Linked DNA regions of Stegostoma tigrinum. The protein of the gene in region 3 purifies or fractionates together with the protein of the main gene of each other region. This does not show direct contact. Links are inferred from orthologs where the notes say so. Each region holds a gene or a part of one and is shown on either strand. Other genes may lie near its edges.

Region 1 (7,968 bases), on a different chromosome or scaffold from region 3:
AACACAGACAGGCTGTCACTAACAACAGCTTTGTTTTAGAATGATTGTAACACCAGAGACACAGGCAGGAAGAGGGAGGTGGGGGTGGGAACTGGGGCTATATATTGACAGATTCTCCAAACTGTGGACCAAACCTTCAAAGTCTCCACCCACCCCAGCCTCCAGGAATGACTGACAGGGGAATTCCCCAATCAGCTAGACTAGCTGCGAGCAATGTTCTCCCTCGATGTAGCCTTGCCGTTTTGTCCCTCACCGAGAGTGGAGAATCCTTTCGCATACTGCAGTGACCTGTTCCTAAAACCTGGGTGACATGCACTCTAATGGGACGGTATGAGATGGCTTATTGAACTGTGGGAGGAATCACGGCACAACGAGACGCTGACAGAGTCAGTAGTGGAAAGCCTCGGGATCCGAGTATCACAGTGCCACACTGGCAGGTGCTGCAGCCGGCAGGCTGACAGCAGCAACCGAAGGTCTGACCAACCACTGAACAGCTGAAACCACAAACCCATGACCAAAACCCAGGCCCAAGGAGAGGACACATGGTGACGGATAGCACTGGACTGGCTCAGTCACAGTTTCTTTAACTAAGTGGCCAAAGGTCAAGATCAATCATGAATCCAGCAGCAGCCTAAATCAAGAAGGACTTAAATAGGTTCACATCTTCTCCAAGATAGCAGCAATGGGAACTTTCTGATGCCAATGGGGTACTTCTCCCACCGTTTTCCTGAGCTCCACCCGAGATCTCAATCTGAAGCCGCACCCACCCTCTGCAATGTTAACACAAGGGAACAACTGTTATCTGTTAGCCCAGACTGATGGCAAGCTATTCGACAGTGTGAGCAGCATTTTAGAATTGCATGTCTTAATTAGATCTCTTCCATGTATCCCTTTCCCTCACAGGACACCCAGAGCGGTGACTGAAGCAAATACTTTAGGGCTGTCCTAACTGAGATGCAGTGGCTCAGCGCAGGATTAAACCCCTGACCTTTGGTTAACTGTGTGTGGCACTCAACAATGCACCTAGCTACTGAACCAGAGTGACCATGTGTGCTGTTGAACAGATTCCAGCATTGTCTCGGACTTTGCCAAACAGTGCTGCAAAACAAAGCTTTACCTGTGCGACTGCAGGAACAGTTATTACCCAGCGAATTTCAACAGTGACTCAGTGTGAATGGTCCCCGTAGCCACAGCAATGAATTCAGCAATAGGACACCTGCACACTTGATAGGGCTCCTCGGTCCTCTAGTACAATGTCATATAAAAGACAATATTCACCCTTACTGCCAATAATGAGAGAGAGGGGGAGACACCCGCACACACACAGTGGCAGAGAGGGACAGAGGGCTGTTGGGGGAGGGAGAACAGAGGTTGGGGGGGAAACAAATAAGTTCAGAGGTTGGGGGGGGTTAAAGGAAGGAGGGCTCAGGCAGAGGGGGGTGGCTGAGTGTGAACCGGGAGGGTGGCGGTGTTGAGGGACAGCAGGGGGTGGGGAACTGGGAGGTGGTGGTGGTGACATTGAGGGAGAGGTGGGGGGGCGTCAGAAGGAAATGTCAGGGGGTTGTCAAAGGGAAATGTGGGGGGGGTGGTCAGTGGAGAATGTGGTCAGTGAGAGGGGTGGTCAGTGGAGGAGGTGGGCGGCTTGGTCAGTGGGAAACATGGGGGGGGGGAGGTCAGAGGGGAATGTGAGGGGAGTGTGGTCAGTTGGGGAGGTGATCAGTGGGGACTGTGGCAGGGGAGTGGTCAGGGGGAATGTGGGGGGTGTAGTCAGTGGGGGAGGGAGAATGGTGAGTGGGAAATATGGCAGGGGACTGTGGCAAGGGAGTGGTCAGTTGGGGGGGTGGTCAGGGTGAATGTGGCAGGGGGTGGTCAGTGGGGAATGTGGGAGGCGGAATGGTCAGTGGGGGGGTGATCAGTGGGGAATGGTCAGTGGTGGGGCGGTCGGTAGGGAATGTGGCAGCGGGGTGATCAGTGGGGAATGTGGAATCGGAGTGGTCAGTGGGGGGTGGTCGGTAGGGAATGTGGCAGGGGAGTGGTCAGTGGGGAAGTTGGCAGCGGAGTGGTCAGTGGGGAAGGTGGCAGGGGAGTGGTCAGTGGAGGGTGGTCAGTGGGGAAGGTGGCAGGGGAGTGGTCAGTGGGGAAGGTGGCAGGGGAGTGGTCAGTGGGGGTGTGGTCAGTGGGGAAGGTGGCAGGGGAGTGGTCAGTGGGGAGCAGTCAGTGGGGAAGGTGGCAGAGGAGGGGTCAGTGGGGGGGTGGTCAGTGGGGAAGGTGGCGGGGAGGGGTCAGTGGGGAATGTGGCAGGGGAGTGGTCAGTGGGGAATGTGGCGGGGAGGGGTCAGTGGGGGGGTGGTCAGTGGGGAAGGTGGCAGGGGAGGGGTCAGTGGGGAATGTGGCGGGGAGGGGTCAGTGGGGGGGTGGTCAGTGGGGAATGTAGGGGGGTGGGGTAGCTGAGTAGGACGATACCAATGTGAATGATGGTGGGGGGTGGAAGCGGACGCGCTGCACCGGGAGGTTGAGCACGTGCTCTCCCGCAAACCCCCCTCCCCCCCGACCCCCAACCAAGGCCGCGCGGTGTCTCCGGTTTCGGAGGGGGGGGGGGGTTGTTCGGTGTCCAGCTGCCCCTCCCCTTTTAACACCCCCCCCCCGAAAAAAAATCGCTCCTCATTCCTCTCCCAGAGCCGGCGGAGTGTGTGTGTGTGTGTGTGTGCCGGCCTTTCGGTGCTCCTTACCCCCCCGGGGGGGGGGGGTGAATCCAACCCCACCCCCAGGGGCCGTGTACCCGCCCCCCCCCCCCGGATTAAACCCCCGCTCCCCTCACCACTTTCAGGTCGAGCACCCCGTCCTTGGCCTCCTGCAGCAGGGACACGAACTTGGTGGTGAGGAGTCCCAGGCTCTTCTCATGCCTGCTCGGAGTCTGCGGTAAGGCCTCGGCCATCTTCACCAACACACTCACTTTATTTCCTCACTCACTCACTCCCTCCCTCCCTCTATCCTTCTCTCTGTCTCTCTCGGTCGGTAGCCGTTAGCAGCGCGCAGCACGCCGGGACTGATTTGAACTGGGAGCAAACAGCAACACCCCCCCCCCCCGCCCCAACAAACAACCTCAAACCGGGCCCCGGCCAGGGACCGTCCTCAAACCTCCACCCTCTCCGCAAAGCGCAGACAGCCCCGGCCAGGGACCGTCCTCAAACCTCCACCCTCTCCGCAAAGCGCAGACAGCCCCGGCCAGGGACCGTCCTCAAACCTCCACCCTCTCCGCAAAGCGCAGACAGCCCCGGCCAGGGACCGTCCTCAAACCTCCACCCTCTCCGCAAAGCGCAGACAGCCCCGGCCAGGGACCGTCCTCAAACCTCCACCCTCTCCGCAAAGCGCAGACAGTCTCTTTCCCCCTCCCCCCCCCCCCCAATTCCAGGTCCCATCCAGGGAGCATCCTCAAACTGCCACCCTCTCTGCAAGCTGTCAACTGTCCCAGATCCCAGCAAGGGAGCGTCCTCAAACCCCACCCGTCCCCGCAAAGAGCAAACTGGCCCCCCCACCAGGGAGTGCCCCTAAACTGCCTCCCTCTGCGCAAAGCTCGAACAGCATGCCCCAGCCAGGGAGCATCCTCAAACAGTTGCCATCAAATGCAGTGGGCAAACAGCACCGACCACACCAAGGGACTGTTCTCAAATTGCCTCTCTCCCGGCAAAGTGCAAACAGGAGTACCAGTGAAGGAGTATCATCAAAACACCACACTTCCAGCAAAGCACAAACTGTGGCTCTCAGGCAGCATCTGCAAACTGCCACTTTGCCCACATGTCACAAAACCACCCAAGGAACATCTGCAAATCACTGAAATATCAAGAAATGCAAAACTTCCTGCTGCCTACCTCGGGGACCGTGTATTAAAAACATGCTCCCCAGAAACCACAAACCTGCCTGCCTTAGGAAGTGCCTTTAAACCCACACTCCTTCTGCAACCCTCCCATACCCTCCATAAAGTTTGGAACATTGGGGTGGGGTTAGGAAGCCATCTTCAACATCCAAGTTTGAAGGCTGTGAAATATTGATATGAAATAGGAATTGAGACCTGAGGTTTATCAGTCCTGATCTCATTGAAAGGCAGGGTAAGCTTGTGGTGCCAAATGTCTTCCTCCTGCTCCTTTTCCTTGTTTTTGAACAACAATGTTCCGAATGAAAGAAGATTTCGGCTCAGCTGCCCAAACCCCTCCACCAATCTCCCTCCAAGGTCTTCTGCCAACCACCTTCATTCCACATTTGTCATGTTTTGGGGAGGTGGTGGCTTCATTCTATCGTCACTGGTAATCCAAAGACCTGTGTTAAAGCATTGTGAAGCGTGGGTTCAAGTCTCATGTCAGATGGTGAATTTTTAGTTCTGTGACTAAATCAAAAACTAGTCTAATAGTAATTATGAAACCACTAGCAATTGTCATCAAAAACCATCAGGTCCTAAAATGGCCTTAAAAAATGAAAATCTGCCACTAGTATGACCTGAATGCCATTCGAACTTTGCTTGTAGCCATAGTAGCCTCTCAATTGTATCAAACTGCTACAAAGCCTAAAAGAAAGGAATAAAAACAAAAGCATTGACCAAGCGTCGGAAACAATAATAATACCCACAGCCCTGTTGTCCCGAAAAAGTCCTCCTTATTAACAGATCTAGCAACTTAAAACTGCAAATGAAGTGCTATCAATCATCATCAGCTGAACTGTATTTAACCAGAATCTGTTATCTAATGGCCCAGTGTGTCCCCCACTGTACTATTGCCAAACAACTCCATAATCAAACCTGGTTCAATGAGGAGTACAGGTGGACATGTCTAGAACCAGTACCAGGCATACCTCAAAATGATATGTTAACCTGGTCAAACTACAACACAGGACAACTTGCAGGCTAAACAGCAATAGAGAGAGCTAAGGATCCCACAACCCAATGAATCATAGCTAAATGTTGCAGTCCTACCCTATGCAGTCATGAGCAACATGGACAATTAAACAACTGAAAAGAGAAGGATCCACAAATTGTCTGTGATGGAGGTGCCTTCCACGTTAAATCAAAAGACAAGATAGAATTACTGTCAACCATGTTTAGCCAGAAGACCTGAGTGGATGATCCATCTCAGCCTCCTCCTGAAATCCTGAATATTACAGATTCCAGGCTTTAGTCAGTGCACTCCATGCGGTATCAAGGTACAGTTGGAGATGTTGGACACTGTGAAGATCATGGACCTTGACAATATTCCAGCAATGTTACCACAGACTTGCTCTGCTATGTTCCTAAACATGCTGCCCTTGTACAGTTACAACATTGGCATCGTCCCAATAATGTGGAAAATTGCCTGTGCCTGTCCTGTGCACAAAAGCACAGGACAATCCTACCTGGCCAATTACCACCTCAGCAAACTGTTGGAAGCTTCTGTCTGTCATGTTATTAAGTGACACTTAAGTCAACGATAACCTGCCACTACCAACATCCTTGTGGTTACCATTGATGAGAAGCTGAACTGGACTAGCTGTAGAAATGGAAAAAGAACTGCAGATGCTGGAGTCGGAGCGAATACAGTGTGGAGCTGGAGGAACACAGCAGGTCAGGCAGCATCAGAGGAACAGGAAAGATCCTGATGAAGGGTGTAAACCCAAAATGCCGACTTTCCTGCTCATCTGATGCTGCCTGACTTGCTGCGTTCCTTCAGCTCCACATGTATTGACTAACAGTAGAATTGCTATGTCAACAAGAAGTGGTCAGAGACTAGGAATTCTGTGGCCGCTAACTCAGATCTCAGATACTGTCTCCCTCTACAAGGCACAAGTCAGGAGTGTGATGGAATACTCTGTGCTTGATTGGATGCGAACAGCTCCAATAAAACTGAAGAAGCTTAACACCATCCAGGATAAAGTGGCCCGCTTGATTGGCACTCCATCTAACACCTCCAATATTCACTCCTTCCATCATCAATGCACAATGGCAGCAAGTGCACAAGATGCACTGGAAATATTCTCTAAGGCTCCGTTAATAGCTCCTTCCTGACCTTCCACCTCAGAGGTCAAGGCGAGCAGAAACATCAGGCCCCAAAATGACTTTCTCTCTCAAATGTGGATGTTCACTGTTTGATGCACAATGATCAATTCCATTCACAACTCCATGGACATGAAGCAGTCTGTGCCTGCGTGCATCAAAGTATGCTGAACAATTAGAAACCAGACAACCGTCCAATTGGTGAGAGCTTTACTTTCAGTTTAAAAGAGTAGATGGAGCATTACTCACTATGTGCTGTGCCTGTCCAAGAAGCATTTGATGAAGACAGTGTTAAGAGACATTAACTTTCTGTTTTAAAAAAGTAGAGTAAGCTTTACTCTATATTGAACTCTATGCTGTACTTGCTTTGGAATGTTTGATGAGGACAGTGTAGACAAAGCTTTACTCTGCTGCTAGTCCCTATGCTGTCCCTATCCTGGGAGAGTTTAATGGAGACAGTGTAGAAAGACCTTTATTTTCAGCTTTCTTTCCATTTAAAAGATTTGAAGGAACTTTACTCACTGTCAAACTCTGCGTTGAACTTGACCTGGGAGTTTTTGATGAGGACAACGTGGAGAGAACTATACTTCCAGTTTAAAAGAGTAGAGGAGCTTTACAGTGTTGGCAAAGATCTGTAGCTCGGGTTGTGGGTGGGGTTATTGACTTGCTCACCGAGCTGGCTTGTTCTCATTCAGACGTTTCGTCATCATGCTTGGTGACATCATCAGTGAGGCCTCTGGGGAAGTGATGTTGTTCTACTCCACTTGGAATTTATACTGTCCGGTCCATTGTGGTGAGTACTGTCATTTCCAGGTTTGATCTGTATGGGCTTGTATATGGGGTCCAACTCTATATGTTTGTTGATTGAAGTATGGGTGGAGAACCGTGCCTCTAGGAATTCCCATGCATGTCTATGTTTGGCTTGGGCTACTACGGTTACATTGTCCCAATTAAACTGATGGCCTTCACTGTCTGAGGGTACTGATATGAAGGAAAGTTCATCATGTCATTTTGCTGCCAGCTGACCTTAACCTATTCTGATGGCTTTGCAACGCTGCACAGTACCTGTCCTGGAAGTGTTTGATGGGGAAAAAGAACAACTGTGCAAGGTAGTAGCCATCTCCAACACCAACGAGTCCAACCACTCCATCATAATTTTCAACAGTATCATGATCACTGGATTATCTTCTATTGCCATTCTGGAGAGGTGGGGGAGTTTGGTCGATGTTTATTGACCAGAAACTAAGCTGGACCAGCCTTATAAACATAGAGGCCACAACAGCAATTGAGGCAAGAAATACCCTCCTGACTCTCCAAACCCATCTTGGAACTACGATGTTGTGGCCATTACAAAAACTTGGGTAATTCAGCAACAGGAATGGTTGTTGGACGTTTTGGGATTTAGATGCTTTAAAAGAAATAGGAAGGGTGGAAAAAGAGGTGTGGGAGTGGCATTGCTAGTCAGGGCTAGTACAGCAGCTACTGAAAGGCAGTTCGAGAATGATAGGTCTACAAAGTCAGTTTGGGCTGAGGTCCTGAACAAGAAAGGAGCAGTCACTTTGTTGGGGGTTTTTTACAGACCCGTTAATAGTTGCAGAGAAGTGGAGGAGTGGATTGGGAGGCAGATACTGGAAAGGTGTAGAGGTCACAGAGTTATGGTCAAGGGTGACTTCAATTTTCCAAATATTGATTGGAAACATTTTAGTTGTAATAGTTCAGATGGAGCAGATTTTCTCCAGTGCATTCAGGAAGGATTCCTGACACAGTATGTAGATAGACCAACACGAGGAGAGGCCACTTTGGATTTGGTGCTTGGCAATGAACCGGGCCAAGTGTTAGACCTGTTGGTAGGAGAGCATTTTGATGGTAGTGGTCATAGCTCTGTTACTTTTACAATAGTCATGGAAAAGGATTGGTACATACAGCAGGGTAAGGTTTATAATTGGGAGAAG
Region 2 (7,686 bases), on a different chromosome or scaffold from region 3:
GCATATTTCCCAAAAGTGCCCTAACCAATGTCCTGTCCCACCTATGCTCAATGTGCTGAGCAATAAAGGCAAGCATACCAAACTCCTGCTTCTGTCTACCTGCAACTCTGTTTTCAAGGAACTATCAAGCTGTACTCCAACGTCTCTTTCTGCAGCTGGTAGGCAGGAATTTGTAAATTATGTTGGAATATTTCAGACATTTGTAAATATAGCAAGGGCCTAGATTTCAAGTTATGGGAATAAGGGAAGTGAAAAATATTTTAATGGGAGCAAAATAAAATATTTTCAATCTTTTGCTGATTGCTGTCAGAAAACATGTGTTCAAGCTCAAGCATGTGTTAATTTCAGATAGACAGGCTGACAGAGGAGAAATGGCTGTCAGATGAATCCATGAATAGTGTCAGTGTCAATCACTAAGGAGCAACTTGTCAATACGGGAAAAGGTAGGCAAGAATATAGCCAAAAAATGTTCTGCAGAGATAACGGTTGAGGTGGTAGAAAATCCAGTGCTGTGGCTGACACTGAACAGGTGGTCTTGTGAACATAGGCTACAAAGAAATACGTGTGAGAGAGGTGATGAATTGGGCCGATTGTGTCAAACACAATGGATACATCATGGTGTGCAACATTTATGTTTGCATACCTTAATTAGAAAGGTTGGCATTGTTGACACATCAGAAATCAGGCAGAAAAGAGAGGAAGTGAATTGTCGGAGTGTTGAGCACGATGCTGGGAAATAACAATAATGAGGGATCTTTGACAGGAACGGAGGCACCAATTGTTGGGAATCCCTAATTTTAAAAAAATCTTACGTAGCTGTGTTTTCCATCTACTTTAACGAGGGCCTCATAAATCAGCAAGTTTGGTGTTAGACTCTGGAGATGTTGATTACAAGGATCTCTAGTATACAAACATACAAATCAAGGAACTCGTAGTTCCCTAGGCCATCCAGCCCTTTAAGCCTACTCCACCATTCAATAAGATCATGGCTGACCTCATTTTGACTTCAACTGTTTTTCTGCAAACCCCCAATAATCTTCCAACCCCTTGGAAATTAAGAATCTACCTACCTTAAAAATATTTCAAGGTTCTGCATCAACTGACTTTTGAGGAAGAGAATTCCAAAGTCTCTCAGACCTCAGAGAAAAATGTTTTTCACATCTGTCTTAAATGGTCAACATTTTATTCTTAAACTATGATCACTAATTCTAGATTCTCCCACAAGAGGAAACATCCTTTCCACATCCACCTGGTCAAGTCCCCTCAGGATCTTATATGTTTCAATTAAGTCACCTCTGACCTTTCTAAACTCCAGAGGATGCAAGTTTAGCTTGTCTCAGCCTTCCTCAAAAGACAATTCATTCATTCCAGGTGTGGGTCAAGTCAAACCTTCTCTGAACTGCTTCCAACACGTTGAAATCCGTCTACAAGCACGGTGACCAGTACTGTACACAGTACTCCAAATGTGGTCTCACCAATGCCCTGTATAACTGAAGTACAACCTCTCCATTCTTGCATCCAACTGATCTTTGCAACAAAACATAACTTTTCAACATTTAAAGCACATAAAGGTTACAAAAATATGTTGAGAGAAACACAGAGTCTTTAATGTCAATGTTGTATGAATAATTACAACAGACAATCTAAGAGATAAATCGAAAACATTGTCAAAGGCAAGAATGCAATCACTGACAATCAGAATCATAATCGGAAGGCTGCTGATTGACCTTCCAATACCATGGTTTCAGCATATGACAGAGTGATAGATTCGGACAAGACTGATTTGGATTTGTACATCATTTGACCATTGGGTGAGGCAGAGGTCCTGTCTGAATTTCTACCTAGGCTGCAAAAACAAAAATGTAATTACTGTTTGTGAAACCTGACGTCGCAACAAACAAGTGAACACATTTCAACAGAAACTGATTGGCTGTTAAGTGATTTGAATATCCCAAAAACATGGAGGGCACGATTTTTAAAAAAGTTATTTATTTCAAACTACAGTAAGAGTAAGACACGGGGTCATAGTTAATCTGACAGGATGCTAGGTATCGCAAAATAATTTGTTCGCGGTTAACACTCAGGGCACTCCTAATTGGGGTACTTGGTGCGTAAACAGTGGCATTGATGGAGAAACTGTTGAATGTTTTGGTTGCCTGATTGGCCTTTCTTATCTCCGCATATGTCAAATTCACAGCATACATTGGCGAGACGCTCTTCCGGTGCTTCCTCTTGCAACTGAAGGCTCAGTTGTTTACGTGGACGGTTTGAAACTTTGCTTTTGGCAAGGTGGGCCGGGCAAGGCACTGCTGAACGAGAATGTGCAGGTTTCTCGAACTGGAGCGAGGACCTTAAACTACTTTAAATGGCAGCGCCGAAGGGCAGGCCTGCCCCTGTTCTGCAAGGTTTAGCATCAGCAACAAACCCGCTCAGCCCGTCGTGAAAATTAAAAACAAAACAGGCAAAACATTAACTTTCAAACGAATTGATTGCAATAGCCTGATGTATGTATTCCTTGTACGCTGAATTCCAATGTTTCAAACTAATGTACACGCAATGAATTACCTCTGACCCTTCCCCTCCCCCTCAGCTGTCAGTGGGTACTTATTTACTCGCGGATGTCACCTCGGGTACACGCCCCCTTATAGTCAGGCAGCTTCCACTGTGTCTCTCTCTCTCACCCTCTGCCCCACACCCTGTCATACTCACCTCCAGGGTGTATGTCCTGCTGATGCTCTCGAAACTTGCCCAAGCCTCACATTTTGCACCCTCGTCCATGTTCAATTTCTGACAAAGTTCCTCAAACCTCTGCCAGGTCCGGCAGCCGCCCTGCTCGTCCTCGCTGGCCATGGTGGCTGGTGAGCAGGAATGGCCGGTCGGGTTGTGGGTTAGTGGAAGTGCTGCTGCAGGAGTAGCAGTTGCAGAAATACCGCTGTCGCTGTCCCCGGGAGGGCTCAGGCAGCGCTCGCGGGCCGCACTGTAGCCATTTAAAAGCCGCTTGATTGACAGCCCAACGTCCCGCCCTTGCCACCGTCTGATTGGTCTGCCCAGCTGCCCGTCGGAACGTTCGATTGTTGCCTCCTGATCGTTAAGTGGCCGCGCGGCCACGTCAATCACAGCGCTTCCTGGGTTAGGCCCTGCCTACTCCTTGCCCAGTACCTGGCAAAGCACAGTGCAGGCTTTGGCGGGGGGGGGCTGCTCTTACAGGGTACCAGCTGCCAGCCTAGTACTGGGAAAGAAATCGCAAGGGAGGGGAACATGACCTCCACATCGCAGAGAGCATGCAGAGGAGATTTAATAGAAAGATTTGGAGGGAATCAATAAACACCCATTCTGCTCAACCCCTCCTAAGAAACTTCCTTCATACCCAATATTAAACTAATAAACCTTCCCTGGACTGTCACCAATGCCAGATATCTTTTGTTAGACAAGAGAACCAAACCTGTTCACAGTATTTCAGGTTTAGATTGACAGGTGCCTTGTAAAAATTGTAGCAACCATTTTACACTCCATTCCCTTTGGAATAAAGGCTTGAATTCCATTTGCCTTCCCTATACTCATTGAACTTGGATGCTAACTTTCTGTGATACATACATCAACACTCCTGAATCCCTCTGTGCTGCAACTTTCTGCAATCTTTTCCCATTAAATAACATTTGCATTTCTATTCTTCCTGTCAATGTAAAACCTCTCAAAATTTCCCACATTATATTGTATTTACCAATTCTTTTGCCCGCTTGGTTAACCGGTTTATATCCTCTTGCAGACTGTTTGTGTCATCCTCATCATTTGTGTTCCCTTCTCTTGTGTCATCTGCAAACGTGGTGATATTACGTTCACTTTCTTCATCCAAGTTATTAAAGGTTTGTAAATAATTATGGCCCTAACACAGATCCTTGCATTTTTCCAATAGTTACACATTACCATCCTGAAAAAGACTTTTATCCAAAATCTCAATTTACGATTAGTTACCCAAACCTCCATCCATGCTAATATAGTACCACCAATATCATGACCTCTTATTAAATAGCCTAGTGTGTGGTACCTTTTCAAAAAGGTTTTGGAAATCCAGTAAGTATTTAATCCCCTGATTTTCCTATATCTATTTGGCTTGTTCCCTCTTTAAAAAATTCTAATGAATTTGACAGGGATTTCCCTTTCATGAAGCCATTATAGACTCTGCTTGATTATACTATGTATTTCCAAATGCTCTGCTATTACTTACTTTATAATAGATTCTAATATTTTCCCAATGACAAATGTTAAGCTAACTGGTATATAGTTAGCTTTTTTTTTCTGTCTCTGGTTCATTTCGAATAAGGGTGTGGCCTTTCCAATCTACTGATACTTTTCCCAAATCTGAAGCTAGTTATTGTTAACCATTCCATCTGTAACTTGGTTCTGGCAAAATCACAGCTTCCTTCCAGGGTTTGACACATTTGGTAAATCCAAATTATACAATATGCTGAGATATATTCTTTTGCTTGGGCAGGAACCCAGTTATTTCTTTCAGCTTTGTATCTCCTAGCTGACAGCATGACTACTTGCCCTTCCCCTAAAGTTGAACAGTCAGGTAAATATTTACCAGATGTTTATTTTGGCCCAATTCAAGAATGTACTGCTGACCCCAAGGTGTTTTCTGGATCAAATGAATTGTGGCACAGTTGGTGGAGCTAACAACAGCATCGCTGCTTCCCCAGCAAACCAACCAACCAGATGGACAGGCATCATCTTAAAATATTGTTGTCAGATGAAGCTATTTTAAAACAAGAGCATTGAGCAAATTGACAGAGTGGCAGGTATATCTTGGTACACCTGAAGGTCACAGACCAGCTGAATAATCATGAACTGGACTCATTTCCTTTCCATATATGATGCTGTCTCCAAGGGGATTCTTCTTGTAATGTCACTTATCAATAGCACACTGTTCTCTGGGGAAACCAGTCACATTGTAGAAAACTACATTGTAACAAGGGCCATTGACATCTAGATGTATTCTGCTGCATTTGCAACACTGTTTAGCTTTGCGCTGTAGACCGAGACACATTGCAAATGCCTGCACTAACAACTTCAAAGGATCCAGACGCGTAGCAGCCTAAGACTGTGGGATCTTCAGAAAAAGCCACAAAGCAAATACTTCCTGTGCAGTCACAACAATGTTGTTTCTTTAATTCAGCTACTCCTATTTCTACATGGTGATCAGCTATTGATATTCAGTGGGAAGTGGATAATTGAATATTTCAACATTTGAGAGTTTAAGTCGTTTGGGACAGATGACTGATTCTTCCTAAACGATAATGCTAACATTATATCATGTGGATATTGGAGGCTGACTCACTGATAATGGAAGGAAGAATTAATGACAATTAGATATCACCTAGAACTGCATCCAGTCAATGGTGCTGGTCTTATTTAGGTAATTAATGTGCTGCCCAAAACAATCCAAGAAAGAAGCCATTGCACATGGCACCATAATGTTAACATCTTGTTTATATCCATCCCTGTATCCTCTAGTGGATGACTACTTCTCTGAGGTTATACAATGGCTAGCAGAAACTACTGTAATGCACTCAGGAATTCTGCTGTCTTGCTACACAATCTGCACTAAAATGTGTCTCACCACAAGCAAACCATATTTTCAATCTATTGGCCTTAGCCCAGTTGCTAGCACTCCGGATTTTAAGTCAGAAAGTTGTGGAACAAAGTCTTGTTCTAAGCATTGGGCACAAAAATCAAGTCTGACATTTCAGTGCAGTACTGAAGGAATGTTGCACTAGAGAGTCAGCCTCGAAAAACCACTCAGTATATTCTGAAGCGGAGTACAAGAAATATCACAAAACAGATTATTTAGTCGTTATAAAATTGTGGTTTGTTTGAGTTTGTGGTGCATAAATTGGCTTCTGTGTTTTATTCATTATAACAGCATTTAATTGGGTATAAAGCACTTTACAGAGTCCTGTGGCCATGAATTATGTTGTAGAGATGCATGACTTTCAAAATTAGAAATGATAGTAAAGTTGCCATAGTCCTCAGACTATAGGGCTGCTCTCTCATTCGAGACAAGTGGTGGTGGTTTAACGTGAGGTCACCATGCCTCAGGTGAGGGGAGAAGTTGAGAAGGACAGTCTTTCATGGTAACCTCAGCTAGTGCAGAAATTGAACACATTGTTTAAGTCACTCTGCATAGCAAACCAGCCATGACATCCTTCTGAATGTATCATGTAAATCCAGTTTTCCTAACATGATGTTGAATGACTTGCACTTAAACTGGCATGAAACCATGAAAAATGATGAGGTGATGCCACAATAGCTACCCTGAAGTAAAACATCTTCAAAATATACATCCACTCCTTGCTTTTAAAGATGCAATATTTAATTCTTAATCACAGTAAATTGTCTATCTGTACTTCTAACCTGTATATGGTCTTTTTGCGGTTATTCACAATCTTACTACTTTTGTTTCATCACCAATTTCAACTTACAAATCAGCTGTATATATGAGAAAGAAAATAGAGAAATAATCCCTATGGTACACCACTTCTAGCCTTGAAAGCCACAGCATGGATTTTTGTGGTCAGCAGGAAAGTGACAACATTTGTTGCTGACTTTGATGAATTACCCACTAAGATAGTCATAGAAGTCTGTAGCACAGAAAAAGGCCCTTCAGCCCATTGCTTCTGCACCAGCCAGATCTAACCATCCAAAGTGAATTTCAACTTCCCTGACATTAAGCTTTATTCTGATGTCAGCTATGGTGGTGGTAGGGAAGGGATGATGCCTTTTGTATGGCAGTGATGTCACCAACCAACCTAAACAGTGAATCAAATTCAAGAATTCTCACAGACAGCAAACCCACTAATTATCCTTCAATTTTTAATAGTCTAAAAGAGATCAAAATAAAAATTGAGACATACGCATGGAGTTAGAATAAAAGCTGAAGTGTCAAATGTTAAAAACAATTTAATTAATAAATAATAATGACTCATGGTCTTTAGTTCAAAGGGATTTGAGGGCAGAAATAAAAATCTTGTTACATTGTACAGTACCATATCTAGAATACAGCACAGAGTTTGGTCTCTGTATTTAAGGACTGCTTACATTAGAGGTGTTACAGTGAATGTTCACTAAATTAATCCCTGGGATAAGAGGATGTTCATATGTTGAGAAGCTAAGTGAATTGTGTCTGTATTCTCTAGATTTTAGATGACAGTCGATCTAATTGAAACATACAAGATTCTAGGGGCTCAGTAGAAGATACGGAGAGATTATTTATTTCCTGCAAAATAATGTGTGACATATCGCTGGATAGGCTTCATTTATTGCCATCCCTAACTCTCTTGAGAAGGCAGTGGCACACATTTTTGAACTGCAGCAGTTCCTAGAACAGAGAATGGTACAGTCCAGGAAACGGGCCCTTTGGCACAACACTACCCCCACCCACCCATCATATCTCCAGTTACCACAATGCCAATCTGCCTATATATGGTCCATGTTTTTCTCTTCCCTGACTGTTTATGTGTTTTTCTACATGCCTCCTACCATCCTCCGTGTAAAATACTTGCCTCGTACATCTCTTTTAAACTCCCCCACCCCCGACCTTTAATCTATGACCCTAGTATTTAACATTTCTGCACTGGGAGAAAGACTCAGACTATCCACCTTATGTACACCTCACATCATTTTATA
Region 3 (6,876 bases):
GACCTGTCTAACATAGCTAAAGCCAACTGGAAACTATAACGTGTAAATTATTGCGACTAACAGCATGGTTCCATCCAGCCCATCTGACGAGTCCGAGGATAGAGAGTGTAAAGAGCAGATCCTTGCTCCTATCCACTCTCTATCTTGGGACTCGTCACATTATGCCAGTGAGGAGCGGTTGGCTGACTGTGAAGTTGGTGGTGTTGTCACTCACTTTGCGATAATTGAACTCTCCGCTGGGTCAGCCTGTGGACTTCCTGACCAACCCTGGTCTGTACGGAACATCTCCTGCGATTCTGCTGTGGACCCTACCCTTGCCTCGCTTCCTGGCTCTCCTTCAGGCGTCAGGAGAGAGCTGCTCTCGGTGGATGGCCAAGACTCCACCAAGGGGCTAGCTATCCCAGCATCTGTCCCTTCACCCTGGCACACCGGCTGGTCAGTTTGTCTCGGAGCATCCTGAGAGGCCAGAGGAGGTTCTGTTGGAAGCGATGGTCTAGGCAGCTGGCACTGACCTGGTTTCACTACCTGGAAGGTGAGACATAACTGAGTCATTAAACACGGCACTTCCTCAGTACGTACCCCTCCTCTGCAGCATGTTGTCAGGTGCTTCCCCAGGTAGACAGGTCTCTGTTCTTACACTTGAGGCTGGCAAAGAGAGCGGTAGTCTGGTTGATAGTCAAGGCCAGCATTAAACCAGAAGGATGAGCTTGCAATATTCTAACCCCTTCAACCTGGCCTGTGCTCCTAACAATGCCAACCCTAGTCTCACCTTTTTGCCCTGCTGCTGAGGTATCCTTTGGGGAGAGGATGGGTGGTAGTGACTGCGGGAGAGCTGAGATTGTCCAAAAGGGTTTCCTGGACTAAACACAGAGCTGTCAGACAGATGGAAAAAAGACAATCAGAATCAGTGGCTTTACTGACAGCTTAAAAACCATTTACCAACACTGTGATGTTCACGGAAACCCCAAAACTGATCACTGATACCAATCCTGAAACTGAGAGAGAAATGGCCCTCTCACACCACTCCAAAACTGTGTCACTCCACGTGTCTGAGTCTGTTGTCTCTGACTCTCTCTCTCTCTCTCTCTCTCCCCCACCGTCCGTTTCTGACTAGTTCTCCCTGATTATCTCCGTCTGATTATGTCTTAAATATGTTAATATTAATAATCTGATTCACCCCTACTCTGACTCTCAGATTATACAGTGTTATACTTTGTGATTATATTATTGATAATCACTGACTCACTTCTACTCTGTCTCTTTGATTATATATTTATAAACATAGTATTACATTGTGAGATTATCTCATTGGTCATAGAGTCAGAGTTGTACAGTATGGAAACAGATCCTTTGGTGTGATTTGTCCATGCTGACCAGACATCCTAAATTAATCTAATTCAATTTGCCAGCATTTGGATCATATCCATCTAACCTTTTCTAATCATGCCTTTTAAATATTGTAATTGTATCGGCCTCCCCCACTTTCTTTGGGAGCTTATTCCATACATGCACCACCTTCTGACTGGAAAAGCTGCTCCTTTAGTCCCTTTTCAATCTTTCCTCTCTCACCTCAAACCTATGCCATTTAGTTTTGGACTCCCCGACCCCAGTGACAAGACAGTGCCTTTTCACCTTATCCATGCCCCTCAGAATTTTATAAACATCAATAAGGTAACCCCCTAAGCCTCTGAGGCTTCAGGGAAAATAGCCCCAGCCTGGTAGCAACATCCTTGTAAATCTTTTCTGAACCCTCTCAAGTTTCACAACATTTTCCTATAGCAGGGAGACCAGAACTGCACACAGCATTCCAAAAGTGGCCCTAACCAACGTCCTGTGCAGCCGCAATCTGACCCTCCCAACTCCTTTACTCAAAGGAGTAAAGGCAAGCATACCAAATACCTTCTCCACCAACCTGTCTACCTGCGACTCCGCCTTCAGGGAAATATGAGCCTGCTCCTCAAGGTCTCTTGGTTCAGCACACTCCCCAGGACCTTATCATTAAGTGTATAAGTGCTGCTCTGATTTGTCTGTCCAAAATGCAACACCTCATTTGTCAAAATTAAACTCATCTCCCACTCCCTGGCCTATCTCATCAAGATCCTGTTGTACTGTGAGGTAACCTTCTTCACTGTCCACTACATCTCCAATTTTGGCATCATCTACAAACTTACTAATCGCATTTCCTATTGTTTACACCTCTGAATAACTTCTAGGCTATCTCTCTCTCTCTAACTGTATGGTATATACATGGTGTTATGTTATTGATTATATGATTAAGAATGATTATATATTATTGACAATCTCTGATTCACCTCCACTCCATTTCTAGATGAGTGCTTTCATTATGTGAAGAATAATGCTTACATGATCACAATATTAGAACAGAGAACATAGAACAATACAGCGCAGAACAGGCCCTTCGGCCCTCGATGTTGCGCCGACCTGTGAACTAATCTAAGCCCCTGCCCCCACACTATCCCATCATTATCCATATGCTTATCCAAGGACTGTTTAAATGCCCCTCATGTGGCTGAGTTAACTACATTGGCAGGCAGGGCGTTCCACATCCTTACCACTCTCTGAGTAAAGAACCTGCCTCTGACATCTGTCTTAAATCTATCACCCCTCAATTTGTAGCTATGCCCCCTTGTATAAGCTGAAGTCATCATCCTCGGAAAAAGACTCTCACTGTCCACCCTGTCTAATCCTCTGATCATCTTGTATGTCTCTATTAAATCCCTTCGTAGCCTCCTTCTCTCCAATGAGAACTGACCCAATATTAATAACCTCTGATTCACCTCCACTCTTTTCTACAGTATATAATAGTCTAATTACATTAAGTGATGGTTATAAACTATTAAAAATATCTGGTTAATTGTGCTATGTCACAGTTTGTAGTTAAATATTATATACATGGTGTTATATGATATGATTGCTACCCTCTGATTAAGCTCCACTGTCTCTACAATATAGTGTTGTCATTACATAAGGAAGATGGCTACACAATACTCAATGACTGATTAACTTCTGTCTGTCTCTCTAATTGTATAGTATTACGTGATGTTATATTATTGATATGAACAAGAATGAGTATACAATATTATTGAGAAGCTGATCCAACCCCACTCTGTCCTATACCATACAATTATATTTATACCCATGATTATGTTACATAACATTATTAATCTCTGATTAACTTCTACTCTCTCTAATTATATATTATTGATAACCTCTGATCAGCTTCTACTGTCTCTCTCTCTCTAATTGTGCAGTGTGTATATATATATATATATATATATATATCCCTATATATATATAAAATACATATACACACGCACACACACACCTATACATATATAGACATATATATATACACACATACATGGTGCTATATTATTCATATAAGAATGAGCATATAATAATATTGAGAATCTGTTTCAACCCAAATGTCTCTATATTATAGTGATGTGATTATATTAAGAATGATGATTACGTTATATAACACTAATAATCTATGATTAATTTACACACGAATTAAATATTATACACATGGCGTTATATATGATTGGTAACCTCTGAATCAGCTCCACTCTATCTGTACATTATATAGTGCGGTCACTACATTAATAATCATGTAACATTGAAAATTGCTAATTACTTTGAACTGTTTCTCTCTAATTAAATACTATAAACCGAGGGCTATGCTGTATAACACTTCAGACCCTCTTTGATTCACCTCCACTTGGAATCCTCCATTTTCCCGCCGCCTTCAACGGTCACGGAGGAGGCGGGGCACATCTCATTGGACGCCAGGTGGAGGGCGGGGCTAGATACAAGACGGACAGGGCTACAGCCAATAGGAAACAGGAACGGTACCGCGTGACAGGATGGGATGAGAATTGACGTAAAAACAAGGAGGGCCGTCGGAGCCGGAGCTTCAGGTCAGTCTGACGTAGGTAGTGTTAAATGACAACACAATTAATGTAAAACTATAAAACTATAATTATCGTCAAAGGGAGGGAATAAACTACCAGCGTTATCACCACCACGGAGGCGGGGGGGGGGGGGAAACCGATGAATAAGACTAGCAGCAACCTACGGCAAATCCTCCATTTTCCCGCCGCCTTTAACGGCCCCGCCAAGGGGCGGGCCTTATAGGGGGCCGGCAGGAGGTGGGACTAGTGGCTTGACAGACGGTTTGGCAGCCAATAGAGCGTGAGGACGGGCATGACGTCTGTTGGGAGCGAGATAATAGGAAGTGCAGATGCTGGAGAGTGTGAGATAACAAAGTGTGGGGCTGGATGGACACAGTAGGTCAAGCAGCGTCTCAGGAGGGCAAAAGCTGGCATTTCTGGCCTGGACCCTTCATCAGAAAAGGGAGATGGAGAGAGGGTTCTGAAATACATAGGGAGAGAGGGGGAGGTGGACCGAAGATAGAGGAGAAGATAGGTGGAGGAGACAGACAAGTTAAAGGGGGAGGGATGGAGCCTGCAGAGGTGAGTGTAGGTGGGGAGAAGGGAGGGGATAGGTCAGTCTGGGGAGGATGGTCAGGTCAAGGGGGTGGGGATGAGGTTAGGAGGTAGGCAGTGGAGATGGCACTTGAGATGGGGATTGGTGAGAGGAAGAACAGGTTAGGGAGGTGAGGATGAGCTGGGGGGTCAGGGGATTCACTCATTAACAACACTCCACCCCCAGAACCCTGTGTTACTGGCTGTATCCCTACTGATGTTAATCCCTCTCCCTCACACTGTCACTCAGTAACCCCTCTCCCCCCCCCAGGGCCCTGTGTTACTGACTGTATCCCTACTGATGTTAATCCCTCTCCCTCACACTGTCACTCAGTAACCCCTCTCCCCTCCAGCGCCCTGTGTTACTGACTGTATCCCTACTGATGTTAATCCCTCTCCCTCACACTGTCACTCAGTAACCCCTCTCCCCCCCAGCGCCCTGTGTTACTGACTGTATCCCTACTGATGTTAATCCCTCTCCCTCACACTGTCACTCAGTAACCCCTCTTTCCCCCCCCCCCCAGCGCCCTGTGTTACTGACTGTATCCCTACTGATGTTAATCCCTCTCCCTCACACTGTCACTCAGTAACCCCTCTCCCCCCCAGCGCCCTGTGTTACTGACTGTATCCCTACTGATGTTAATCCCTCTCCCTCACACTGTCACTCAGTAACCCCTCTCCCCCCCAGCGCCCTGTGTTACTGACTGTATCCCTACTGATGTTAATCCCTCTCCCTCACACTGTCACTCAGTAACCCCTCTTCCCCCCGCCCCCAGCGCCCTGTGTTACTGACTGTATCCCTACTGATGTTAATCCCACTCCCTCACACTGTCACTCAGTAACCCCTCTTCCCCCCAGAACCCTGTGTAACTGACTGTATTCCTTCTGTTGTTCATCCCACTCCCTCACAGTCACTCAGTAACCCCTCTTCCCACAGAATGCTGTGTTACTGACTGTATCCATACTGATGTTAATCCCTCTCCCTCACACTCAGTGACACACCCTCCCAGAGCCCGGTGTTACTGACTGTATCTCTGTTGATGGTAATCCCATTGTCTCACACTGTTACTCAGTAATGCTGGCTGTTGGGATTGATTCTCTCTGTCACAGGTCTGTTTGAGTGCTGTTGGTCTTTGTGGCGATTGCTTGCCTATTTCCATCGTGTGAATGAGGCCCCACAGCAGTAACATGATTTCAGTTACCGTGAAAACTGAAAAAGCAGGTAGGCTTGAACTAACTGCCCTTCTCGGTGCTGGCTCCTATCTCTTCATCATTCCTTATCCCTTTCCTTCCCCATCATGACTCCCTCACCCTGAATTTATTCTGTGTTTCAAGTTCAGCAAGTATGGTCTCCCTCCAGTACCGAAGATAAGGTTTAAACATTCAAATAGGATGACAGAGTGAAACTGTTTCTTCTGCAGGGGAGCAGAGAGTTCAGAAGAAGGGACACTCTGTCCAAATCCCGGCTCGATCCACGTGAGACGGTGAGGAGGTTAGAGAGAATGAGAGGAAGGAAATTCAGGACCTCTCTCTTGGTATGCACAGCAATTTTTGGTTCATTGAGACAATTGCATGGAGGATGCTGACTGGTCTCCTCCTGTTCCTGTGCTACAGGCTCGAGGAGGGGGCTGACTGGCATTCTGCTGTTCCTGTGCTGCAGGCTTGAGGAGGGGCAATCTGGTCTCCTGTTCCTGTGAAGGAGGAGGTGGTGAATTTTTCACTGCTGCAGCATTGCTTCTACTCAGCAGGTGGTGGTGCTGAGCGATGGCTAAATCTGCATTAGAACAGACAGAACAGGGGAACAGGCCAGGTAAGGGAGGCAGCTCTAGACCCCTAGAGTTAGTCGGTGGCTAGGAGCAAGAGCAAGGACTGAAATAGTAGCTCTGCAGCAGGAAAGTGTTTGGAAAGGTTTGTGAGGGCAGAGAAATAAAAAGACCCCTGTTCTTACTGTCACCAGCTCAGGACAATCTGTGTAGCTAATGAAAGGCTTCCTTTTTTGAAGTGAGGACTCTGTTGCAATGGAAAATTTCCTCAGCGCTGACCGTCCAACAGCGCTGCACTCTCTTGGTACCCTGTTTACTTATTCCTTTGTGTAACAAAGTTTAGTCTCTTACATGGTTTCTGTGAGTTGCAGATCTTGAGGCTTCGACAGCTCGTAATCGTTTAGATGCAGTCCTCCAGTGTCTGGTTGAGAAGAGTGATATTGAGAGGTAAGTGTTTAGTTTTCCTTTGATTTGGACTAATTCACTTGGACATTGCCATTGATCTCTAAATAAAAACCAAAAGAACTGTGGATGCTGTAAATCGGGAACAAAAACAAAGTTGCTGGAAAAGTTCAGTAGATCTGGTAGCATCTGTGGAGGCGAAA
Region 4 (7,825 bases), on a different chromosome or scaffold from region 3:
CCTAAAATATTTGGCAACAATACTTGTTCCTAACTAGACAAGCTATGAAAAGTTTTAAAATGGTAAATTAGGAGTGAATTTTTGTATGTTTTAAATAATATCAATCCATGAGTTGAATTTCTATCCTATCTGGAAGCGTATCAATGAAAGATGCACCACAGTTCTGCAAATGCTCTGTATTTCAGATTCAAATGTAACTTCAAACATATCACATTGCACTTCAGTTGATATAAACATTTCTATTCTGAGAAACCAGGCGCTGGAGTTTTACAATGGGTGATTTTTTTAGGTGTATTTCTAATTTTGTTTTAAAAACAACACACACACGAATTTGGTTTCAAAGCAGATACCTCTTCCGCAGACCATTTGACTTTGAAGAACTTATTTGCATCTTTGTGATCCGGAATATCGTAATCCAAATCCTGTGAAGGTTCATCCAATTCTTCACTGCATGTACGTTTATGAAAAGAAAGCACATCATGAAGTAGAGAGATTCATGCAAGCATTCAATATGAGTTAGAGTTGAAACAGCAATCTGCAGAGTCAACTTAATTTGTGGAATAAGGAGGATCAAGTTTGTTAACTTTCGTGATTTATATTGAAGTCCACTCGGGTGTAATACTATGCTTTCTCCAAGTTTACAAGATAGAAACTTGTTTTCAACATGGACCAACATGTCACGTTTCTTTCTATTAGGGAAATACTCAAAATATACAATATCCTGACCAGCAAGGGGAGATAAAGCAGGCTCTAAAATTAAGTTCAGAAGGGAGGTGAAGAGGTCAACATATTTAGACTATACGAACTGATGCAAAAACAGCTCCCTGAAGATAGTACAGATATATGACCAAGAACAGATGGAATCTAGTCTGGTAGCAAATTGTAAACCCATTAAAAAAAAAGGGCAGTATGGTATCTCAGTGGTTAGCACTGCTACCTAATAGCATCAGGGGCGTAGATTTGATTTGACCCTCAAACAACATTATGTGGGGGTTTGCACATTCTCCCCATATTTGCATGGGTTTCTCCCACAATCCAAAGATGTACAGGTTAGGTAAAGTGGCCATTCTAAGATGCCCATAGTGTCCAGGTCTAGGCAGATTAGGCATAGGAAATGCTCGGTTGCAAGGATTAGTTAGAGGGTATGACATGGTCTTCAGAGGGTTGGTGTGGACTCAGTAGATCAAATGGTCTACTTCGACACTTTAGGGATTTTACAAAAAATATCTTGATGTTCTATGGGTCAACTTCTAAATTTTTAAGATTCAACAGCAGGAAAACCACACTCCTGTTATAGTCAAACACTAGTTTATGACTTGAAAAAGAATATGTTTGGGGAAGAAAATCCGTACAATATGATCAGTGTTTTCTGGATGACAGCAGCTTTTTCAAAAAAAAATCTATTTTCTGCTATAAAACAATACTTGTTAAGCGTTTCTACACAATTATTTTGTTAGCAATTTAATCAAAGGCCAACAAGACAAACTAAAAACAGTCTAATATCCTGATGTATTAAATCATTTCAAGACATAACATAATTATAAACCTTGCTGATGCAAGTTCACAACCATAAGCAAAAGTCTTGTTATCTTTCCACTAATTCTTTTTATTTAGAAAAACCAGCAATATGAAGTATCTTAAAACTTCCAGGCATCTGTGTCCCTGTTAAGTTTTTAAAGGAGGAGATAAAATGGTTGGACTTTCTTGGTTTTACAGTTACCATTTGTGTAGCGCTGTTCTGAACTTCAGGCAGTCCAAACGCTCTTCACAGTAAACATTTGAATCTGTTCACTGATAACATATAGGAAACAACGCAGCCAATATGCTCATTGCTAGGTCTCACAAACCGTCACATAACCATGAAAATAAAAAAACCAGAGTTGCCTAAACTGGAAAACAAAAGTTAAAAATTGCTGGAGAAACAAAGCAGGTCTAGCAGCATCTGTGAGGATAAAACAGAGTCAACGTTGCGAGTGACGAAGAAACGTTGACTCTGCCAAAGCTATTCAATTTCTTCAGCAATTTCCGTTTTGTACAAAGTGATGATTTTCAATCTTTTAGCACAAAACATCAAAGGATCGTTCAGGTCCACCCAGCGAAGATCCAATACTGCTGTATTTAGTAGCATTTAATAAATACTTAAGTCTCTAGGTTGAGACTTGAACCCATAACTTCTATGGTGAAAGGAGGCCAACACCTGGAATGGAAACTCACTAGAAAAATTTTCCGCTTTTAATTTAAATGGACAAAAAGAGGTTAAAAGGCAGGTTTCGTTACAGGTGCACACTTCTTTAGATATGGCAGCCAGCTAACTCAACATGCACAGAATGAACCAAAAGTCAACTTTTATTCCATACCCAGCCATTTCCAACACGTTTTAAGAGTTTGTAAATGCAATATAATCCCCACTTAAACGTAATTTGTCCCAGTTTTGAAGAATCCTCTATCTCAATAAACCTCTACAAATTAAAAGAAATATGGTTTTCTCCATTTCCTCCCGATGCAAGTTTACAAGCACATTATGAATTCACCGAAGCTCAGAAACGATCTCTCTCATTACTTTGTCAAAGACATGGAATGTTGCAAGCATTAATTATTCTTGGGGGTGGGGGACAGGATATCGCGTCCCACACATCGGGACGGCTGAGAGGGAAATCAAAGTGAGCTTTACCTATCTTTTTAAAACAAATCATCATCAAATCGGTCGGTCACTCACCATAAAGTCTTCTGAGCCATGGGGAGGGGAAAGAGGCCCACAAGGACTACCTCAGGGTCACTATGGCCTGGGAGTCGACCACCATCAAGCTGGGTAACTAGAAAAAGTAATAACCTTCTTCTTTTAAACAAAAAGAGGAAACAAAACTATCCAAACCGCCGTTCATACATCCGACAAAGATCTTGCACCTCACAAGTTAACGAACCTTTGTCTCCGACACTCTCCCGCTCCTACTCCAGCAAGCCGTTTCTTAAAACCCGCCAAATGCGCCGCTCTCGCTGGCCGCCGTCGCGCTTGCGCACTGGCTACGGCCACGCCCACTGGATCACCCGCCTCCCCTCTGGACACGCCCCCAAGGTCGGTGTGCCTCGCCCCCTCCCTACGCTCCGCACCATTACCCCGCGGGCTAACGTTCCATTTACAAATTGGGGCTTTGATTGTAATCTGTGCGGAGGGGTGAAGATTCATTGTGAAAAGAGAAACGAGAACTACCGCCCTATTTTTTTTACTTTGCGAGCCCAATCTCCCTGCTCCCTGTTGGACTTTAACATTAAGATTGTTTAGTTGGGGTTTTTTTGGCGGAATGCCAGAGATCATTGACGAAGTCGTCCGTCCCATTCCCGGGCCAACGTTCCATCTGGCGGGATGTGCGAAACAACGAACCGTTTCTACACCGCTCCTTCCTGAAAATGGGTCAACTTGTTTCACCAATGCGCACCTAAACAGACATTCCAGCACCTCTGCTAATGCAAAAGAAGGAAATCTTGCTTGTAAAGAGCAAACATATACATTGCAGAAGAAACTGAACAGGTCTGGCAGCATCTAGTAAGAGAAAGCAGTCGACTTTTCGAGTCCAGTGAACAGCCAGACCTCTTGAGTTTCTCTTGCACAAACAAAAACAGAAATTGCTGGAAAAGCACAGATGGGAAAGATGCTGTTCCTTTAATAATACCCTATCAATACGACCTTTCCAGTCTGCTTCATCCTCTCCTGTACAGCATCTGTGATGGCATGAGTCAGGCTCTGACTACACTCCTTCAAGGATCCAACATGCTAACCAATATCCAGAATGAAAAACCAGTTGGTGAACATGACCTACCTGCCTATGTCTTTTGGACCACCCGGTGATCACACATTGCCGGTCTGTCTCATGTCCTAACTTGTGCTCCAATTCTCTGAAGATGTTATCCAGTAGATCTTTGCATCTTGGATGTACCTCAGGTGACTCTAGCTGATGTTCAAGCTTAAAACCTAGAGCTAAAGCTGGTGCAGCCAGTGACTCTTCATTGCATGGGCACATCTAATTGATCAGAAGTAGTCATGATTGTCCACATGTCACAGGACATACATTCTGCTTGGATGAGCTGCCCTGGCATATGTTTAAAAACATGAACATGAGGCTAAAAGCAGAAGTAGGTCATTTAGCCCTTTGAGATCATTGCTGATCTGATAATCCTCAGCACCTCTTTCTTGGCTTTTCTTACTCCATAACCCATGATTCTGTTACTGATTGAAAATCTCTCAGCCTTGGGTTATTGACCCAGATTTGATAGCCCTCCGTGGTAAAGAATTCCACAGATTCACTACCCTACATTTTTCGAAATTACTGGAGTTGTAATGCAATCACTAACAGCAGTTACTCAACAACTAATTAACTCACCAATTTCCTATGATGTCACAGGCTGTGTTCTCTCATCCAAAGTGATGTTGAACTTATACATAGCAGTTATCACACCTCACCTGGGTGTACAATGGGACTTTGATCAAATGGGCTGCTGTCCTAAGGAGTGGCAGATGGGGTTTAATCTAAATAAATTTGAGGTGCTGCATTTTGAAAGGGCAAATCAGGGCAGGACTTATACACCTAATGGTGGGGTCCTGGGGAGTGTTGGTGGACAGAGACCTTGGCATGCAGGTTCATAGTTCCTCGAATGTGGAATCACAAATAGACTGGATAGTGAAGAAAGTAAAAACTGAAAGAACTGCGGGTGCTGTAAATCAGCAACAAAAACAAATTTGCTGGGAAAAGTCAGCAGGCCTGGCACATCTGTGAAGGAAAAAACAGAGTTAACATTTTGGGCCTAGTGACCCTTCCTCAGAAGTGAAGGTGGTGTTTGGTATGCTCACCTTTATTGGTTATTGCATTGAGTGTAGGAGTTGGGAGGTCATGTTGTGGTTGGACAGGACATTGATTAGGCTACTTTTGGAATACTGCATTCAGTTCTGGTCTCCCCACTACAGGAAAGACATTGTTAAATTTGAAAGGGCTCAGAAAAGATTTACAAGGATGTTACTGGAATTTGGAAGGTTTGAGCTAAAGGTAGAGGTTGAATAGGCTGGGGCTATTTTCCCTGGAGCATTGGAGGCAGAGAGGTGGTCTTATAGAAGTTTGAGGTTGTTGACTTGCTTACTGAGCTGACTGGTTATAATTCAGATATTTCATCACCATGCTAGGTAACATCATCAGTACGGCCTCCGATGAAGCGATGTTGTTCTACTCCACTAAGTATTTATATGATCCAGTCTGTTGAGGTGTTTTGTGTCATCTGTTTTTTTTTTCAAGGGTATTTAGACAGGGTCCATTTCCACATGTTTATTGATTGCATCATGAGTTGAGAACCAGGTATCTAGGAATTTCTATGTGTGTCTATAGCTAGGATGGTCACGTTGTCCCAGTTAAATTGATAGTCTTGATTGTCAGAATGCATATAGAAGTTTATAAAACCATGAGGGACATGGTTAGTGTGAATGTCCTTTTCCCACGGTAGGGGAGTCCAAAACTTGAGGGCATAGGTTTAAGGTGAGAGGGAAAAGACTTGAAAAGGGACCTAAGGGGCAGTGTTTTCACAGAGTGTGGTGATCATATGGAATGAACTGCCAGTGGAAGTGATGGAGGCTGGTACAGCTACAACACTGAAAAGGCATCTGGATGTGTACATGAATGGGAAGGGTTTAGAGAGGTATGAGCCAAATGCTGGCAAATAGGACTAGATTAATTTAGGATATCTGTTTGGCATGGAAAAGTTGGACCAAAGAGTTTGTTTCCATGCTGTATATATTTATGACTCCATCAAACAAAAAAATGTTGTCAAAGTGTTCTTGTTCTATGTTGGACATAAGAATTTTTTTTAAAGTCCATATTTGTTAGGAGCAAGGGCAAAATAAATGCAACAGTCTACATTTCTATTTAGTTTGGGGAGATCAAGTCATTGATTTGTACATGGGAGAATCACAATTGTCTACATGACCATGTGCAGGATGTACTTCCAGCTGCAGCAATTCAAGCTCTAGGTTTGGAGCTTGAGCAACAGTTGGGGGCAGTACAGTGCATTCACAAAGTCAAGGGGTTTGTGCGCAGCGCATTTTAAGGCAAGGTCACTCTGCAGCTTAAAAGAACTGCAGACAGAGAAGGTATGAGTAACTGCTGGACAAAAGACAGGGACCAGACAATAGATGAGAGGATTCCCAATTGCATATCATTTAGAAACTGATTTTCAGCCTTAGGACAAAGTGAGAGCGACACTTCCTCCATGGATGCCAGACAGAACCAAAGCTATGGCACTGTGAATGTTCCAGATGTTCAGGCTTGGGAAAGGAAGAATTGTGGAATGGATCTAATGTTAGGGGTTTAGTTAGGGGAAGAAGTAGACAGAAAGTTCTGTGATTGTAAATATGGCTCCAGGGCAGTGCCAGGATAAGAATGTCACAGAGAAGCGACAGTGTATTCAGAAAGGAGAGGATGAACTGTGCAAGGTTATGGTCCATTTTGGGCATAGGAAGAATGATAAGCAAAGTCGTGCAAGCAGACTTTATTGATTTAGGTAGAAAATTGAAAAGGAGGACTTGAAAAAGGTAGTTCTCAAAATTATTCCTGGAACCACTCAGTTGGGAGTAGTGGAATAGGAAGATAGAACAGATGAGTATATGGATGGAGATACTGTGCAGGAAGGAAGGCTTTAGATTGCTGAGGTACTAGGATCATTTAAAATCGGGGAAGTAGGACGGGTAACATCAGAACAGGAACAGGACCAACATTCCTGCAGGGAAGTTTGCTAATACTTTTATAGAGGATGGTATCCAAAAAAGTAGTTCTGAAGGGAGAGAAGCGAAGATGGAATTAGAAATTAAAATGCAGTTGAGTGAGTATGGAAGACTGAGGAAGCATATATGACAGTTCAACATTCCTGTTCATGGGGCTTTTAGGCAAGATAAATAAGGGAATAGAAGAGGAGAGATGATATCTTGGAAGGATCATTAAAAGACACCATAAGAATAGAAGAAACAGAGGAGACAAATACACTGTTGGGTACATACTATAGGCTCTCAAGCAGTCAAATTGGTCTTTCCCCAGTTTAGAAATTCTCCATATCTATTATAGCCACCATAAATCTAACTAAATTATGGTCACTCTCTCCAAAATGATTCCCCACTAGTGTTTTCCAACCATCTGGGCTCGTTTCCAGATATTAGGTCTATCTGGAAGACAGGAGGATTAAATACATAAAATTAAATGTGGGAATAATAAATGTAAATTATATGGTATTTTGACTGACCAAATATTATTGTGCAAGATAAGGGAGGGAATAAAAATCTTACATTACGTCTGAGAGAATTTTGTTTTTAAGCCAGAAAGCCCACAAGGCAGAGGAATGTTCTAGACGTAATGTCTGGAAATGAGCCCAGACGGGTGGAAAACACTAGTGGGGAATCATTTTGGAGAGAGTGACCATAATTTAGTTAGATTTATGGTAGCTCTAATGGATATGGATAATTTCTAAACTGGGGAAAAGACCAATTTTACTAAGACATGTTTTGACTCAAGTAGCTACTTGCAGATAAAACTGAGTGTTGACAGGCATTTCAAGGAGGACATTCTGTAGGCCCAGAAGACAGTCACAGCCCACAATAAATAAATAGCATTGGTCTTCATAATGGTATATAAATTTTAATTTGACTTCATTTCAGTCTCTCCCATCTCCGTGCATTTCTTCAGCTTGCTTCCTGCTGATTTAGCTTTTGTACGTCATTGGAGCTCATTAGATGAAGCGTTAGGGCATTGGCTGTGATTGTTACATTCCAGAAAAGTAGAGGGAAACAGCATGTTACTCC

What was found.
Region 1: the proteins of lin37 (region 3) and e2f4 purify together in Homo sapiens (co-immunoprecipitation; 4 studies listed by BioGRID and IntAct, with this or other methods). This does not show direct contact. The link is inferred for Stegostoma tigrinum from reciprocal best matches to the Homo sapiens genes LIN37 and E2F4.
Region 2: the proteins of lin37 (region 3) and rbl2 purify together in Homo sapiens (affinity purification with western blotting; 5 studies listed by BioGRID and IntAct, with this or other methods). This does not show direct contact. The link is inferred for Stegostoma tigrinum from reciprocal best matches to the Homo sapiens genes LIN37 and RBL2.
Region 4: the proteins of lin37 (region 3) and mybl2b purify together in Homo sapiens (affinity purification with mass spectrometry; 6 studies listed by BioGRID and IntAct, counting the BioPlex papers as one, with this or other methods). This does not show direct contact. The link is inferred for Stegostoma tigrinum from reciprocal best matches to the Homo sapiens genes LIN37 and MYBL2.

The regions. Positions count from the first base shown.
Region 1 is NC_081369.1:8,293,758-8,301,725, reverse strand, and holds the start of e2f4 (transcription factor E2F4), read right to left. Parts: upstream 3,015-7,968; 5' UTR 2,936-3,014; coding exon 2,819-2,935; intron 1-2,818. UniProt on the Homo sapiens protein: Transcription activator that binds DNA cooperatively with DP proteins through the E2 recognition site, 5'-TTTC[CG]CGC-3' found in the promoter region of a number of genes whose products are involved in cell cycle regulation or in DNA replication.
Region 2 is NC_081369.1:24,613,117-24,620,802, forward strand, and holds the start of rbl2 (retinoblastoma-like protein 2), read right to left. Parts: upstream 3,011-7,686; 5' UTR 2,851-3,010; coding exon 2,710-2,850; intron 1-2,709. UniProt on the Homo sapiens protein: Key regulator of entry into cell division. Directly involved in heterochromatin formation by maintaining overall chromatin structure and, in particular, that of constitutive heterochromatin by stabilizing histone methylation.
Region 3 is NC_081394.1:565,620-572,495, forward strand, and holds the start of lin37 (protein lin-37 homolog), read left to right. Parts: upstream 1-3,865; 5' UTR 3,866-3,941; exon of another isoform or gene 3,942-4,063; intron 4,064-4,099; coding exon of another isoform or gene 4,100-4,113; exon of another isoform or gene 4,114-4,131; intron 4,132-5,618; 5' UTR 5,619-5,675; coding exon 5,676-5,730; intron 5,731-5,929; exon of another isoform or gene 5,930-6,272; coding exon of another isoform or gene 6,273-6,318; intron 6,319-6,642; coding exon 6,643-6,718; intron 6,719-6,876. Other genes in the region: proser3 (proline and serine-rich protein 3), read right to left, coding at 215-525, 770-872, 3,737-3,798.
Region 4 is NC_081372.1:17,805,020-17,812,844, reverse strand, and holds the start of mybl2b (v-myb avian myeloblastosis viral oncogene homolog-like 2b), read right to left. Parts: upstream 3,005-7,825; 5' UTR 2,922-3,004; intron 2,916-2,921; exon of another isoform or gene 2,814-2,915; 5' UTR 2,737-2,813; coding exon 2,717-2,736; intron 448-2,716; coding exon 351-447; intron 1-350. UniProt on the Homo sapiens protein: Transcription factor involved in the regulation of cell survival, proliferation, and differentiation. Transactivates the expression of the CLU gene.